3 linked regions of the Xenopus tropicalis genome follow. The main gene of each other region encodes a partner of the protein of the gene in region 3 in a complex. Links are inferred from orthologs where the notes say so. Each region holds a gene or a part of one and is shown on either strand. Other genes may lie near its edges. The genes, in order: ncaph2, ncaph and smc4.

What was found.
Region 1: the proteins of smc4 (region 3) and ncaph2 are in contact, whole or in part, in a cryo-EM structure (PDB 9F5W), measured with the Homo sapiens proteins. The link is inferred for Xenopus tropicalis from reciprocal best matches to the Homo sapiens genes SMC4 and NCAPH2. Residues at the interface, in NP_001002800.1 of Homo sapiens: Ile100, Leu101, Gly102, Pro103, Ile112, Gly113, Pro114, Ser117, Gln1151, Met1152, Leu1155, Phe1227, Lys1228, Ser1231, Ile1232, Phe1235, Tyr1236, Glu1239, Gln1240, Asn1253, Asn1254, Phe1256, Glu1257, Arg1261, Gly1264, Ile1265, Tyr1266, Lys1267, Thr1268, Tyr1269; in NP_689512.2 of Homo sapiens: Arg494, Ile495, Trp498, Glu499, Thr501, Val502, Leu505, Leu506, Gln509, Glu510, His512, Phe547, Cys550, Arg551, Met553, Leu554, Leu557, Gln558, Ala560, Asn561, Tyr563, Val565, Glu566, Ile567, Gln569, Leu573, Glu574, Ala576, Val577, Asp578.
Region 2: smc4 (region 3) and ncaph share a complex: the UniProt entries of both Homo sapiens proteins name them as parts of the condensin complex. The link is inferred for Xenopus tropicalis from reciprocal best matches to the Homo sapiens genes SMC4 and NCAPH.

What each region holds. Positions count from the first base shown.
Region 1 is NC_030679.2:89,417,648-89,422,658, forward strand, and holds part of ncaph2 (condensin-2 complex subunit H2), read left to right. Parts: intron 1-626; coding exon 627-781; intron 782-1,510; coding exon 1,511-1,612; intron 1,613-2,967; coding exon 2,968-3,074; intron 3,075-3,423; coding exon 3,424-3,492; intron 3,493-3,874; coding exon 3,875-3,944; intron 3,945-4,050; coding exon 4,051-4,161; intron 4,162-5,011. UniProt on the Homo sapiens protein: Regulatory subunit of the condensin-2 complex, a complex that seems to provide chromosomes with an additional level of organization and rigidity and in establishing mitotic chromosome architecture.
Region 2 is NC_030679.2:125,116,814-125,121,824, forward strand, and holds part of ncaph (condensin complex subunit 2), read left to right. Parts: intron 1-677; 5' UTR 678-687; coding exon 688-923; intron 924-2,554; coding exon 2,555-2,651; intron 2,652-3,310; coding exon 3,311-3,403; intron 3,404-3,503; coding exon 3,504-3,642; intron 3,643-5,011. UniProt on the Homo sapiens protein: Regulatory subunit of the condensin complex, a complex required for conversion of interphase chromatin into mitotic-like condense chromosomes.
Region 3 is NC_030681.2:114,765,884-114,769,949, reverse strand, and holds part of smc4 (structural maintenance of chromosomes protein 4), read left to right. Parts: intron 1-1,027; coding exon 1,028-1,172; intron 1,173-1,289; coding exon 1,290-1,463; intron 1,464-1,573; coding exon 1,574-1,756; intron 1,757-2,791; coding exon 2,792-3,024; intron 3,025-4,066. UniProt on the Homo sapiens protein: Central component of the condensin complex, a complex required for conversion of interphase chromatin into mitotic-like condense chromosomes.

The sequences.
Region 1 (5,011 bases), on a different chromosome or scaffold from region 3:
AGGCACAAGGCATAATCAAAAGGGCTGGAGTAAATTATTGAGAAAAAAAAAATAATATTGCACGAAATAAGTATGCGGTAGGCGGAAAAATTGTATCCGCACCATAAGAACAGAAATATAGAAAACCATTAACAAAGCTAGGCTAAGGGCTTTTAAGTAACAAGGTAACCAGGTGCTCATGTCAAATTTGCAACATAGTCTCATCAAAATGTATTAGATACATTAGAGGATTCAGGCTGCTTACTGATATAGTCTCAAAGCGAAAGAGAGAAGCCTAACATCCACCCAGGAGAGGTTAGTGTATAGAAAGGTGTTACAAATAAAAGTACAGACATTATAGAGTAAAGACATATAGGATAAATGTAACATAAAAATAGGCAAATAAGCCAATGTTCATATACTGTATCAAAACAAAAACACCTTATAGCACGACTATGACAGATAGAATGGGGCATATGATATATATATATATATATATATATATTGTAATATATAGTAATATATAATAATATTGTATCCCTCTGGTTCTACACTAGAGTGCAATAGCAGCATGGTGGCTGCTGCTTATAAAAATGTAATTATTCTGCATGCTCTTGCCTGGAAATAACTTATTCTTATCTACACAGCCGTAAAGGGGAGGTCTTAGCCAGCAGGAAGGATTTCCGAATGAACACGTGCACACCTCACCCCAGTGGAGCATTTATGCTAGAACTGGCTGGAAAGTCCCCCATGCAGTTCCTTCAACATATCCAGCATCATGAGGAAGCCAGCCTTGCTCAAGGTACAAAGTGGAGGATTATTGTTTCAGATCAGTAATGTTTGTTAGAATCCCATTGCTTCAGGCAGTGGTAAAACAGCAATGAATGGAAACTACAAAAAATACTTGAACGCTTGTATACTGTAACCTTTTTTTATACTATTTAAAAAAAAAATGCATTTAGGCCAGGACCATTAAAAGTTATTAGGGTGTTTTCTAAAATGCTGTGCAAAGTCTAGCTGTTTTTGTCCTGCTAGCACACCAGTGCTGACCAAAGGCATTTTTTTTCTAAACTCCTGAGAGGAACATCCAAGGGGTTGGAGATCAACATGTTGCTTACAAGATACTGGTTTGGGATCACTGAGGTAAATGGTAGTCTGCCATACAGTGCAATTTAGATATGTGAGACTCCCCTGGGAAACAATAATTATATTACAGTGCTTTTTACCTTTAGGCCCCACCTGTCCTCCGCTGCTAGAAAACTGCATTGCAGCAGGCCCATATTTATGATAGTACACACTAAATCCTTTGTATTCTACAAACCTTATTGAAGTGCTGATAAATAGGGGTCAAATACCATTCATGTCTGTCTGCACAGCTAGAGGATGAGTACATATAGTACATGGGTGAGATTATCATATGAAATTAACCTCTTCTGTGTTTTCAGACACATGTTATAAAATAATAATGTATGGTTTTGATTGAACATAGTACTTCTTGAATGCGGTTCTTCACAGAATCTCTGTCTCTTAGGTGAACAGAATGCAATCCCAGAAGGTGAGAATGATAATATGGAGGCAGAGAAATCAGATTGTGCTGACCCTGTGCAGGTGCTACAGTTCTCTGATGAAGGAGGTAAGACATAGTTATCATCCCAGATTTAAGCTCTAATGTGGATTCTAATACCCATGTTAAAGGAGAAGGAAAGGCAAAGTCACTTGGGGGTGCCAAAATGTTAGGCACCCCCAAGTGACTTTAATCGCTTACCTTTTACCCCAGCTGGTGCCCCTGTTCAGAGAGAACAGCACCAGCCCGGGGTACCTGCAGCGCTTCCTCCTTCCTGTATCGCTGCGCGCATGCGCAGTAGAGTGAAAAGCCGAACTTTAACAGAGAAGTCGGCTTTTCACTCTACTGCGCATGCGCCTATCATATAGTCGCAGCTAAACGAAGGAGGAAGCGCATCGCTACAGGTACCCCGGGCTGGTGCTGTTTTCTTGCACCAGCCCGGGGTTACAAGGTAAGCGATTATAGTCACTTGGGGGTGCCTAACATTTTGCCCCCCCCCCCCCCAAGTGACTTAGGCTTTCCTTCTCCTTTAAGTGCCCTTTACTGTCATAAAGTATAAAAAATGTAGGCCACCAATACTAGGTTCTGTTCGCACATACATACAGATTATAGCTGCTGTATTCTACTAGGTGGAAGACTGATGGCCTCTCAGATATGAATATATTTGCTTAACTTAACACACACAATTATCATGAAGCCCTGCTAAAGTCTTAATTTAGTAGTGCATGAATCCTTACTAATGCAGTAATGTTGAGGTAGAAAGTACGGCCAGCATAAGTACAATAAAGCACATGAATTTAGCAATCCTCCAGTTTAATATCAGCAGCTATCTGGTTGCTAGGGTCTAATTTACCCTAACAACCAGGCAGCAGTTTGAACAAGAGACTGAAATACTAATAGGAGAGAGCATAAAGGTGAGTCATTAAAAGTAACCACAATATCATTTTAGCCTCACAGAGCATTAGTTTTTGAGTTGCTGGGGTCAGTGATGCCCATTTGAAAGCTGGAAAGGAGCAGAAGAGAATGGAAAGTAATAAACTACAAAAATAAGTGACCAAATAAATGGCTACTAAACAGGACATTTTGAAACTACCCTTTAATCTATCTTAGGAAAAATAAAACTCCAAAGGAGCCATGGAGGCTTCATTTGTAAGAAATCTATGTAAGTCTAAAAATTTTCATGCATTTGCATAATTTGGGTGCAGCGGCTAATTCTGTTGTAGACAGGATAGATGAGGTAGTGGGCATAGTAAGGGAAAATGGGGCAGGAGACTTGTCCCGTTTGAGCACTGGAGACCAAAACTGAACAGCATATTCTAGATGGGGCTGTCATGTACTTGAAAGCCTTTATTTATGCTGAGCTGGAGTAGCCCAGTGTTTTCCTCTCAGTTTTAGTAGGTATGTTGTCAATTTTGTTTCTTTAGCACCTGCAGCAGAGAATGGTGATGGGGCTGGATTTCTTCCACTTGATGATCACGATGAAGCCGGTGATGGAGAAGTGGAGCAAGCAGAGCACATTGAGCGGCGAAAGGTGTGCCAATTATGTTTGGCATTTTATAAATAGTTAATTTTAGATTGGGGTGCAGGTAGCTGTTGATTAAATCTGCAGCAGCAATCTTAAGTCAGAGTTATTTCTGCACCTCTCAGCATCTTTTTTATTTCTCTATCTGTCCATCCCAAAAAAAAAAATCAATCTTCTAAAATCTCTGCAGACTTTGCCCATACTGCATACTATTTGGATTTCGCTTTGCATAGATTTGTTGAAAGTGATTATATTTATCTATTTTTCTGTGCATTGTATTGGACAGTCACTTGTTAATGCGCATGCTTTGTTTTCATATTGCCCTGGCTTTATGTATTTTAATTTGTGCTTTCCACAGATGCAGACGGAAGAGAGAGGCTACGTTCTTCGGGAGAGACTTGAACAAAAACCTGCTTCAGCTATTAAGGTAGAGCTGGCCCTGTGCTTCTTCCTTTAAAGGGAAATTATTCCGATAATGAAAATTTAATATAAGATTCATCCCATGGAAACAATCAAAATATAATTGAGACTCCTGCATATGTTCTAAAAAAACAAGTTAGTTTTCAGATGTACTAGACCTAACTTAAAAATCTGACTCCAACTCCTGCAAGAAAGAATAAGAGAAGGATTTCTCATAGGGGAATATGACTATTACAAAAGTGGCACAGAATTTATACTGATTATTTTTAGAAAGTGTGTTTCCATGAGTTAAAGGTTATATAATTTTCTTTTCATTTTTACAATAGTTGCGCTTTAAAGAGATGTGATGATTTGTGCCATTAATTTGTTGTGCTTCTCTATTATTTTAGAATGAAACTTCTGACCCCTGGTGTGGTTTGGATCCTTTTGAGTCCTGTGAAGAAAAGCCATTTAAAAAAGGTGGTCTAAGAGTGGTTTTCTTGTCTTTCAGGCATTTAAAATATTATTTGTGGATACTGTTTACCCTTTTTTGGCTGCTTTTAACCCCATTCCCCTATCCTGTCAGGTAAACACTATACACTTCCTCGAGGTATTGCAGAAGACCTCTCTTCAAACAAGAGAAAGCGAAAGCTACCTTGCAAGCTGCAAGACTTCATGAAATGGTTCTCCTCTACACGTGAGTTTTATCAACTACAATTGAAGTTTGGCAAGGGAGCTAGCCAAAGCTGACCATTTATTCAGATTTTCAGAACAATTGACAAATAGTGTGCATTTGGCCACAAGATCTAATTGATTGGCCATAGTCTTTTCAAGTTTTGCTTATTATTTGTGTCATAATTTTATATAGGGACCCGTGAGCTGGAGACTAAAATGATATAGGGAAGAATTACCCCCAATGCCGCACTCAATTATTAGTCTTAATTTAATTCATTGTCAATGGATAACACAATCAATAGTTACCACCATAGGGACATCGCCACCCGCATGCATATAGACAAAGTTAGAGGAGGGGGGGGGGGGGGGGGAGTCCTCAAGAATGATTTTAAAAAACTAACGGAGAAGTTGAGGGCAAGGACTTCCAAGGTAATTTTCTCAGAGATATTACCTGTGCCACGAGCAACATTAAGCTTAGGGAGATTAATGCGTGGATGAGAGATTGGTGCAGGGAGGAGGGCTTTGGGTTTCTGGAGTACTGGGCTGATTTCTCAATCGGCTACAGGCTCTTTGGGATGGGCTCCACCTCAATGATGATGGGGCAGCTGCTTTGGGGGAGAAGATTGCTAGAGGGTTGGAGGAGATTTTAAACTAGAAGTGGGGGGGGGGGAGGGTGCAGTGGGTAATTCTGTGGTAGACAGGATAGATGAGGTAGTGGGCATAGTAAGGGAAAATGGGGGAGGGGAGCGCTCTGTAAAGGGGAAGAATAACACCCTCCTCCCGTGAATCTATACCCCTTTTAATACAGCTCAAAACCTTGTTTGCCCTTGCAGCTGCTGCCTGGCATTGCTTGCTACAGCCAAGTTTATTAT
Region 2 (5,011 bases), on a different chromosome or scaffold from region 3:
ACTCACATTTTAATATATCTTCCCCTTGGTGTTACTGTTCCTTTAAGGGGTAAAGACACACAGAGTTACTAGAAGCAGTTACTTGTCATGGCTACAGAAACAGACAATGCTGATCATATACTGATAACTGTCTCTATGTGTGTTTTAGCATAGGCAATTCTCAGTATTTTCTATGACGGGGTATTTTCTGGCGTTTAGTAGCCGTGACAAGTAGCTGCTAATAAGTAGTTCTGTGTGTCTTCACCCCAAGGGTTAGGATTATAGCAGAGTGTGAAGTACAGTTAGCTGATCAGAGCAAGACCCTGCCTACCTGTGGTGGCACTAAAAAAAAGAAACCTACAATGTGTGTCTGCAGGAGCCAAGATCTCTCCAGGCTTCATTGTATGCATTACAATACGTTGGGCACATCTTTGTTGACCTGTATAGGCATTGAAGTGCAATTTAACTGAGCGAAAATGCAAACACTGTTAGTTAAAGACACTAATGACAATAAGAGATCTTTGCAATGCCCAGTTAAACATCTAATTACAAGCAAAATGCTATATTGCCATTACATTTGTCGGGTATTCTGTGTGCTTGTAAAAGGATACATTCTGTATATGTAAGGAAGGCTGATATTTGTCAAAACAACAAAATCTCTGTATAAGTTGTAGCTTGTAATTCTTTGTATTTTCTAGATAAGACAAAATGAGTACATCAACTCCTCAGTCAGGAGTGCGCAGAAAGCCAGCAACCCCAGACAGTGCTTTTCTGTCCCCAGCCACTAGGCCTCAGCCCGTCAGTGCGGCTGGTACTCCCACTCTGCAGAACTTTACTAGCAATGATGATGAACGGGAAAGGAAACTTCGGCGTATGTCCAGGGTCATTGACCTGCAGCTTAGCAATGCTGATTCCCCTGCATCTGCCATTTCACCAGCTCAAAGGTAATTGACCAGTTATCTAGTTTGTGTGTCTGCTTTAAGGGGCAAAAAAATAAACTCTTTCAGCTGAAGTGTTATAGTGGTACATTAACTTTTTTTTACTCGTGAGCCACACTCAGATGTAAAAATTGTTAGTGAGCCACACTCAGATGTAAAAATTGTTAGTGAGCCACACTCAGATGTAAAAATTGTTAGTGAGCCACACTCAGATGTAAAAATTGTTAGTGAGCCACACTCAGATGTAAAAATTGTTAATGAGCCACACAAGCATGAAAAAAAGTTCTTTGGGGATGCCACTGTGATTGGCTATATGGTAGCCCCATGGGGAATGCTAGCCTGGAGGAGGCTCTGCTTGGAGTAAAACTGTGTCTCTGTGCTTCCAAAACTTGCCTCCAAGCCAGAAATGTAAAAATGGGCACCTACTCTGAGGCCGCTGAGAGCAACATTAAAGGGGGTGGTGAGCAATATGTTGCCCACGAGCCAGTGGTTGGGGATCACTGTTATAGACGGACCTATTCTAAGCTACTTTTCATATGGTCGTTTTTTTGTGTTTTATTAGCCTTCCTATTCTGTTTATTAACAGTCTGCAAATAAAAACGCCAGCTAGTTGTTGGGTCACTCAATTTTATTGTTGTTCTTATTTTTTTATTGATTATTTTTTGTTCAGGCTCTATAGTTCCCATTCTGACATTCAAACTGCTGCCTGGGGTAATTATACCTTGGTAACCAGCTACCAATCCAGATGTGAGGCCCATGAGCCTTAGAACAGAAAATTTAAATTAAAAAAATTGACTATATCCATATTGCCTTAGGAAGCTAATGTTCTCACCAACCCCTAGGAGTAAATTAGTGCTACTGCAGGGAATGTAGTTTATTGTATACAAAGCTGGACAGTTTCAACTAAGTTGGCACACTTGTCATTTCAGAATATAAGCTCTGTATATGTATGTTTTTATTCCATTTCCTTCTTAACATGCTGAGACTTTATGCTTATGTCTCAGAACAGAAATAAAACAAGCAATGGTATCTAACCGAATCCTAATTAGCATATGCTTCCGTGTTAACATGACAAAAAGTCATGTGATTTTTTTGGAATCAAATATGATTCAGCCGAATCCGAAAAAGGCTGAACCCTGGCTGAATACTGAACAGAATTCTTGATTCGGTGCATCCCTAAAAGAAAGGTTAAAATCACTGGGGGTGCCAAGTTGTTTCTAGTGTTGAATGAAGGAGTGTGTATGGCTAGTTCTAAAATCACTAAAGAATTTATATACCAGTCTCTAATTCAAACCACTCCCTGGGAATTTGGACCCTAGCAACAGTATAACTGCTAAAATTCCAAACCAGACCGCTTCTGATCAAAAAGTGAATAATTTTAAAAAAAAAAACACAAATAAAAAATAAAGACCAGTTGCAAGTTGTCTCTGTTGTCAACATCATACTTAAACTAAACTCAAAGGTGAACAGCCCCTTTTAAAATAATTCCACACATTCAAGTGGTAGTAAAAGACAAAACTCTTGTATTAAAGACATTCCTGGACAATTATTGGTTATGTATTTGTTGAAATTCTACAAAAAAGAAACATGTTCATGTCATAATATAAATGTGTTATTTTTTTTTTTGTTTTTTTTAGCAGGGGAATAGATACTCCAACATCTCTACTGCCCAAATTAAGCAACACGCAGATTTCAGATCATTATTCCACCTGCATTAAGCTGTCTCAGGAGAATGTGAGCATTTTACTAATTTAATCTGAAAAAGTCTCTCCTGAAATACTGTTCTAGTTAATTGCTTTGTAAAAATATACGCAGTTTACTGTCTTTTACTTTTATGACTTATTTTTCCCGCAGGATTAGAAGTATTAATTATTTACCATTTTACTTTTAACGTTATTAAGGGAAAAATTGGGGGATGATACAGTTAAAATAATTGTTTTTCTCTTTACATGGACCTGCTATGTCAAAGTAATTTTTACTTCTTTTCTGCAGTGGTGCGCAAACATTTAACGCTTTACTTATAGCAATATTAAATCTTTCTCAGAACTTTTTCTCTATTATACTTTGAGAATATCTATAGCACCTTAGAATATGCACTTGTTGGTCTAAAGCTGACCTATAAGGGCAGACCCATAGTTTGTGGCCATAGGCTGAGTTTAGAGTCTCTGATAAATTAGAAATATTGTATATGCAGGCTATTTTTGGACAGATGGTTAGATGTGTTCTCCTTTAATCATCTTTACTGTCAGCAGTATTGTGATAACATGGGCTGTTTGCTTTATACTTTGTAATGGTTGTGCTTAGCCATCTTATTGTAAGCAATGTTGTAGCTTAACTATCCTATTGGGTCTTCAGTTGCTTTGGTTTGACCTTGTAAAACTGTTCTTCCACAGAAAATAACAACTAAGAATGCTTTCGGGTTGCATTTGATTGATTACATGGGTGACATCTTGAAGCATAAAGACAGCGAATTAACTAACTTTAAAGTAAGTGAACTTGGCTCTCACAGATGCAACTGTTGCTTAGTATTAAAATTTCACACATTCAGTGCTCATTTTGCCTTTTGCTTTTGACACTTGATTTTAGGTTGCAGCTGGGACTCTGGATGCCAGTGCCAAAATATATGCAGTGCGAGTCGATGCTGTTCATGCAGATGTCTACAAAGTGCTTGGTGGGCTAGGAAAGGAATCTCAGGCAACTGAGGACACAGACAACCAGGAAATAGGTAGCATAATGTTATCTGTTTATTTTATATAGCAGAATACATTTTACATAACTCTTTAAAACTACAGTGATGAAATTCACATATATAAGAGAAGCTGATGAAAGCCCAAGAGCCATCAGGCGATAATTAGAATATAAAGTAATCATTTCATGTAGTTAAAGACAGTTACATCAATCTCTGAATGAATGTAAGTTGAAAAGTTGCTTAGAATTACATATTCATTCATTATCCAAGAGCTGCTATTCTGTTCGCTAAAAGATACACGCAAGTCATGTTAAGATCAGAACAAATGTTTTAGGCTGGTGAACAATGGCTTCACTAGTTTAAGCCTGATGATACAGTGTTAAAGAAAATGTTAACCCTCAAAAACAAATTAATGTTACACTGCTCAGAGCACTTTTCTAAGCACTTGTACAGTAATACATATTTTTTTTCTAGATTTCAAGATACACTAAAAAATTAGATTTAAATAACAGTGCTGCCTGCTTGGGTAGTTCTGCTGACATGACTGGCACTCTGGGCAGTATTTCAGATCAATTTGCTGTGTAGAACCCTGCTCTGAGCAATTTTACATTCATTGGTTTGAGGGTGTACGTTTCGTTTAAATGAGTGGCTTTCTTCCCAATATAAATTAAAACCAGCTCTTATTGTCTCTCAGAAAAAATAATTGTAACATATCTTTTCATATGTCTCTTCATATTTTTGTTTAAAACTTTCTTATTGATGCTTCAGAGTGTTATTAAATCTCAGGAGCCATGTTAGCTGTATTACGTCCAATTTACCCACAGACTACTCCACAGAAATTTCTTTCATCATGCAAGTCCTTTCAGGACTTGATGAGGGAAACTGACATAAAATATGTAGTGTATCCACTACCCTGAATAAGTTCATTTGCAGTTAAAGGATAAGTCAACCCAAAATATAATTTTTGCCTAATAAAAGAAAACATAATTTGCAATGGTTTTTTATTAATTGCAATTAGATGTAGTCTTTGCCAGTTCTTTTCTAGTCTCTGCCCTGGTGACTTTTTGAAACAATGTAAGACAAGGCAGCAGCTTGACAGACCTGTCTCAGGGGGATGAGGCCTTTGCAACATTGTTTATAAAGTAACTACCAGGAGTTCAGCAAAAGCTGCTTTCAACTGCATTACATTTACAAATTTTTAAAGCACTTAAATTTTTCATTAAATTCACATTGGAAAGTTCCTTGGACTTATGTTTTCTTTTATTAGGCAAACATCCACACGTCACCTTTTTATTCCTGATAAAAAGGTGACGTGTGGATGCACATTAACAGTGCTAAGGATTTTGCACATAGAAATATTTTCATAACATCTGAACTAGCAGCATTAAGCAGGGCCCTGAGGGAT
Region 3 (4,066 bases):
AACAAATAGTTGTTAAATGGTTAATAGTAAGGCTGCAGCATCCCCTAAATCACTTAAGGTGCCCATACACTATAAGATCGCCAAGCGAACGGATCTTCACCCGATATCCCCACCTACGGGTGGGCGATATCTGGTAGCAAGGGACTAAAAAAAAAATAATCCGATCGTTTGGCCCTGGGGCCAAACGATCGGATTACATTTGAGCTTATGGGGCAGTCGGTTCGGGGACCGCATCAACGAGCCGATGCGGTCCCCGATCCGACCGGATTTTCTAACCTGGCCAATTTCAGGCCAGGCAGCTCTGTTCTGCCCATACTCGGGCCGATTAGCTGCCAAATCGGTCCAAGGGACCGATATCGGCAGCTATAGTCGGCCCGTGTATGGGGACCTTAAGATTTCCTTCTCCTCCTGTAACCCCCTTCCCTTAGGAATTTGCATTGGCTGTTTACTCCTGGGCATGCTCCGTTTTCTCAGTTCAGATAACACACCCTCCATTCTAGCAGCCAATGAAGATATCCTGTTCTTTTCTCCTAACCTCTTTTCCTCAGCTCAGCTTAATCATTACAGTGCTCAAACAAAGCAGAACTTTTTATCAAAGACCGTTCTACCTGTGTGAGCCTGCATTCTTGATGAAATTTGTGTGTGTGTGCATACTGTTTGCAGATTTAAATGTAACTGATCATGTGTCATGTAAGAGCTTCTATTTGCTTTAGGAAAAAGTGATAGTGCTGGCAAAGGTAGGGGTATATGCAGTACAAATTATGCCAATTGGTTGAGGAAAATGTTCCCAACTGATACACATTGTAGGAAAGTGTGGGCTGTACTTGTCCTTTAAGCTAAAACCAAGCTTAGGAATCAAATGGGCACTGTCTCAAATAAACTCCATAGACTAAAAGTGCTCATCAATGTTCAATAAATTTGTCATTGAGAGGCTTTGCCAAATAATAGGTTGATTGTTGTACTTCATGTATTTAATGCACTGTGAAAGACATGTTGTTTTTAAATGAAAATGCATATGTTCCTCTAGAAACCTTAAAAAGTCAGAGGAGGCAGTTGCACGCACTGAAAAGGAAATTGTAGAGAATGATAAAACTATAGAGGAGCTAACTGAAGACTTGAAACAACTGGAGGAGAAAGCAACGGCAGTAATGAATGAGTGCAAAGAAGCTGAGGTACTGAAAGCATAGATTGCCTTTACTATTAATAATTGGTTCTAAAACAAGACTTCACCATTCTGTACAATAATTAGGAAAGGGAAAGTTAAAGCACTTCTGTTCTTGTATTTTCAGGGCTCCCTCCCAGAGGTTCAGGAACAACATCGCAACTTGCTTCAAGAAATCAAAGCCATTCAGGAAAAGGAACATGCCCTTCAGAAGGAAGCACTTAACATCAGACTTAACATTGAGCAGATAGAGAGTCACATAGCAGAACATCAGTCAAAAATTAAGTACTGGCAAAAAGAGGTAATGTTACCCTTTCTTTTTTTGGTTTCAGATGTTTTTCTGTCTCTATCCAACAATGTTTCAGCTTGTGTACATTGTGTTACATGATCCTTTTTACTTATTTTGTGCAGATAACTAAAATAAGTCTCCATAGAATTGAAGACAATCCAGAGGAAGTTCTTGCTGTATTAGCACAAGAGGAATTGGAAGCAATTAAAGACCCTGATCAAATAATAAACCAGATTGCACTTTTGGAAGCAAAAAGTCATGAGATGAAGCCAAACCTTGGAGCTATAGCAGAGTATAAGAAAAAAGTAATGCAATTGTTGCAATCTGTGTACATTTTAGAGTTGGTTTTTTTTTTTGTTTTGTTTTTGGTTTTTTTGGCAGCCTGAAGCACTAACAAAGACTGACGTTTCGGCTGGTATTCCAACCTTTCTCAAAGGATATATATAATATTGACTTTTGTATATCACTTCATACACCACCTTGCACCAGTAATATCAGGCTTGAGGGCAGGTAAAAGCCCAGTATGCTGAAGTAAATTGTTTATTCAGCCAGGGAGACTTTTAAAGGGTCTTGCCTAATGTGTTTATAAAACATATGTCTGCATCTCTTCTTAACACTTTAGCCCTTTTGTGCTGCATCCCTGTATAGTGTACAAAGTGGCACAAGGAATGAGTTATAAAAATCATTTTTGGTGTAGCCAGTAATGACCCTGTTGTAGCCTGCACATTGCGGGAGGCTTAACTTAATTTGCTCTCAGTATCACTGGATAACTGTATTTTGTGACTTCACCAATACTAAGCACCAAAGTTTGCATTGTTTGCTTGCTTATACAAACGTATTAATCTTTTGCTGGAGGAAGCTGCAGGAAAGGCTTGCTGGTAAGCTAATTAAAAAAGGGCCCATTGTCCTTTAGTCAGAGCTGGAATCGGCTAAATAACTAGTTGACCGTGCAGTGCAAAAGATTGCTATAATCCTTATATTACAATCACATTGCAGTCCTACAGACTGGCTTCACTGCATGTGTAGGTGATATATTCCAAATAATAACTAACACTGCTAGATGTTTTCAAAATAATAGGACCATGTTCTCTAAACTGTGTGAAATCTGCACTAATGGGGAATATGCGTTCTGTATATGTGCCTCAAGTAAAGTCAACAAACTAGAACATCCTTTGAATATAACTAGAAATAGCATTTAAAGCAAGCCTGTTAACTAATTAGTTTTTAGTGAAACGTGCTAATTGAACCAGATGTTAACTTGATGATAACTCTGTTTCTTATGCTCCATTTAAATTCTGAGCTCTAACTCTTCTCCCTTACTTCAATATACTGTTAAATAGGAGGAACTCTATCTCCAACGAGTGGCTGAACTTGATGAAATCACCAATGAAAGGGACAATTTTAGGCGTGCATATGAAGATCTTCGTAAACAAAGGCTGAATGAATTCATGGCTGGCTTTAATATCATTACAAATAAGTTGAAAGAAAATTACCAAATGCTGACACTGGGAGGAGATGCTGAGCTGGAATTAGTAGACAGTCTAGACCCGTTTTCAGAAGGCATAATGTTTAGGTTGGTAAGAAGTTAACCATCTATAATATACTTTGTGCTAATGAATAAATATTTACATCCTTATCCTTTGCTGTAGACCTGTTTAAGCTTAATTAAAATAGAATAGAAAGGGCAGAGTCAGGCTATAAGATTCTATTCTAATTACCTTAACCATGTAAGTGCCAGTAAGAGCAATAGCACCGTGGTTAAATCTCAGTTAATGTGGGCGACTAATCCCCCCCCAAAATGCATTCCTTCCAGCGATAAAGTAAATTGCCAGTGGGAATGCATATGCATCACTTCATTTTCCAGTCAAGTCAAGCTAAATTTCTGCAGGAGACTACATACCAAGATAAATATACCCCTAAATGTAAATAGTGGAGTAAAACATTACCGGTTATGTTGCTCATAGCAGCTAATCGGATGCTTTGGTTTTCTAATAAATGAAATCTAATTGCTGATTGCTTGCCCTTGGGACTTTTTACACAGCATGATAAATGTACCCCTTAGTCTGATACAGACTGATGTGCTTTTAAAATATTTACTCAATACCAGCATACAATAGATCCCATCAAGTTAAATCCCCCATCTATATCACAGTGGCACAAGCACCATTTATTTGATATCTAGAGTTGCAATAGATGATTTTCCTTTTATAGAAATTTGGGTTAGCACTGCTCCTGTGCCTCTTGTATCAGTCAGCTTGCTGCTTCAGAGCAGAAATATTTCTTTGCAGCTGTCAGTATTCAGAAGGCCAATGGGGAGCCCTGTTTGAAGGAGCAGTGTTGTCACTGGCTGGCAAATGAGGAATAGCAAAGCTTCTCCTTCTTCCCCAAAAACCCATTCATGGCCCATGGGTAAAAGCTATGCAGTCTATGTAGTATGCACAGTGCAATATGTAGCTGTGAAAGTTCCCATACACAATATAATTGGCCTTGTATAAACAATATGTGGCAGCAGGTTTCAATAAACAGGCCATTACAGGTTATTTTCCACAGAATCACTGCTCACGCATAGTGTCACTTTACATGAAACCCAATGACACATCCCTAATTCCTTTGTT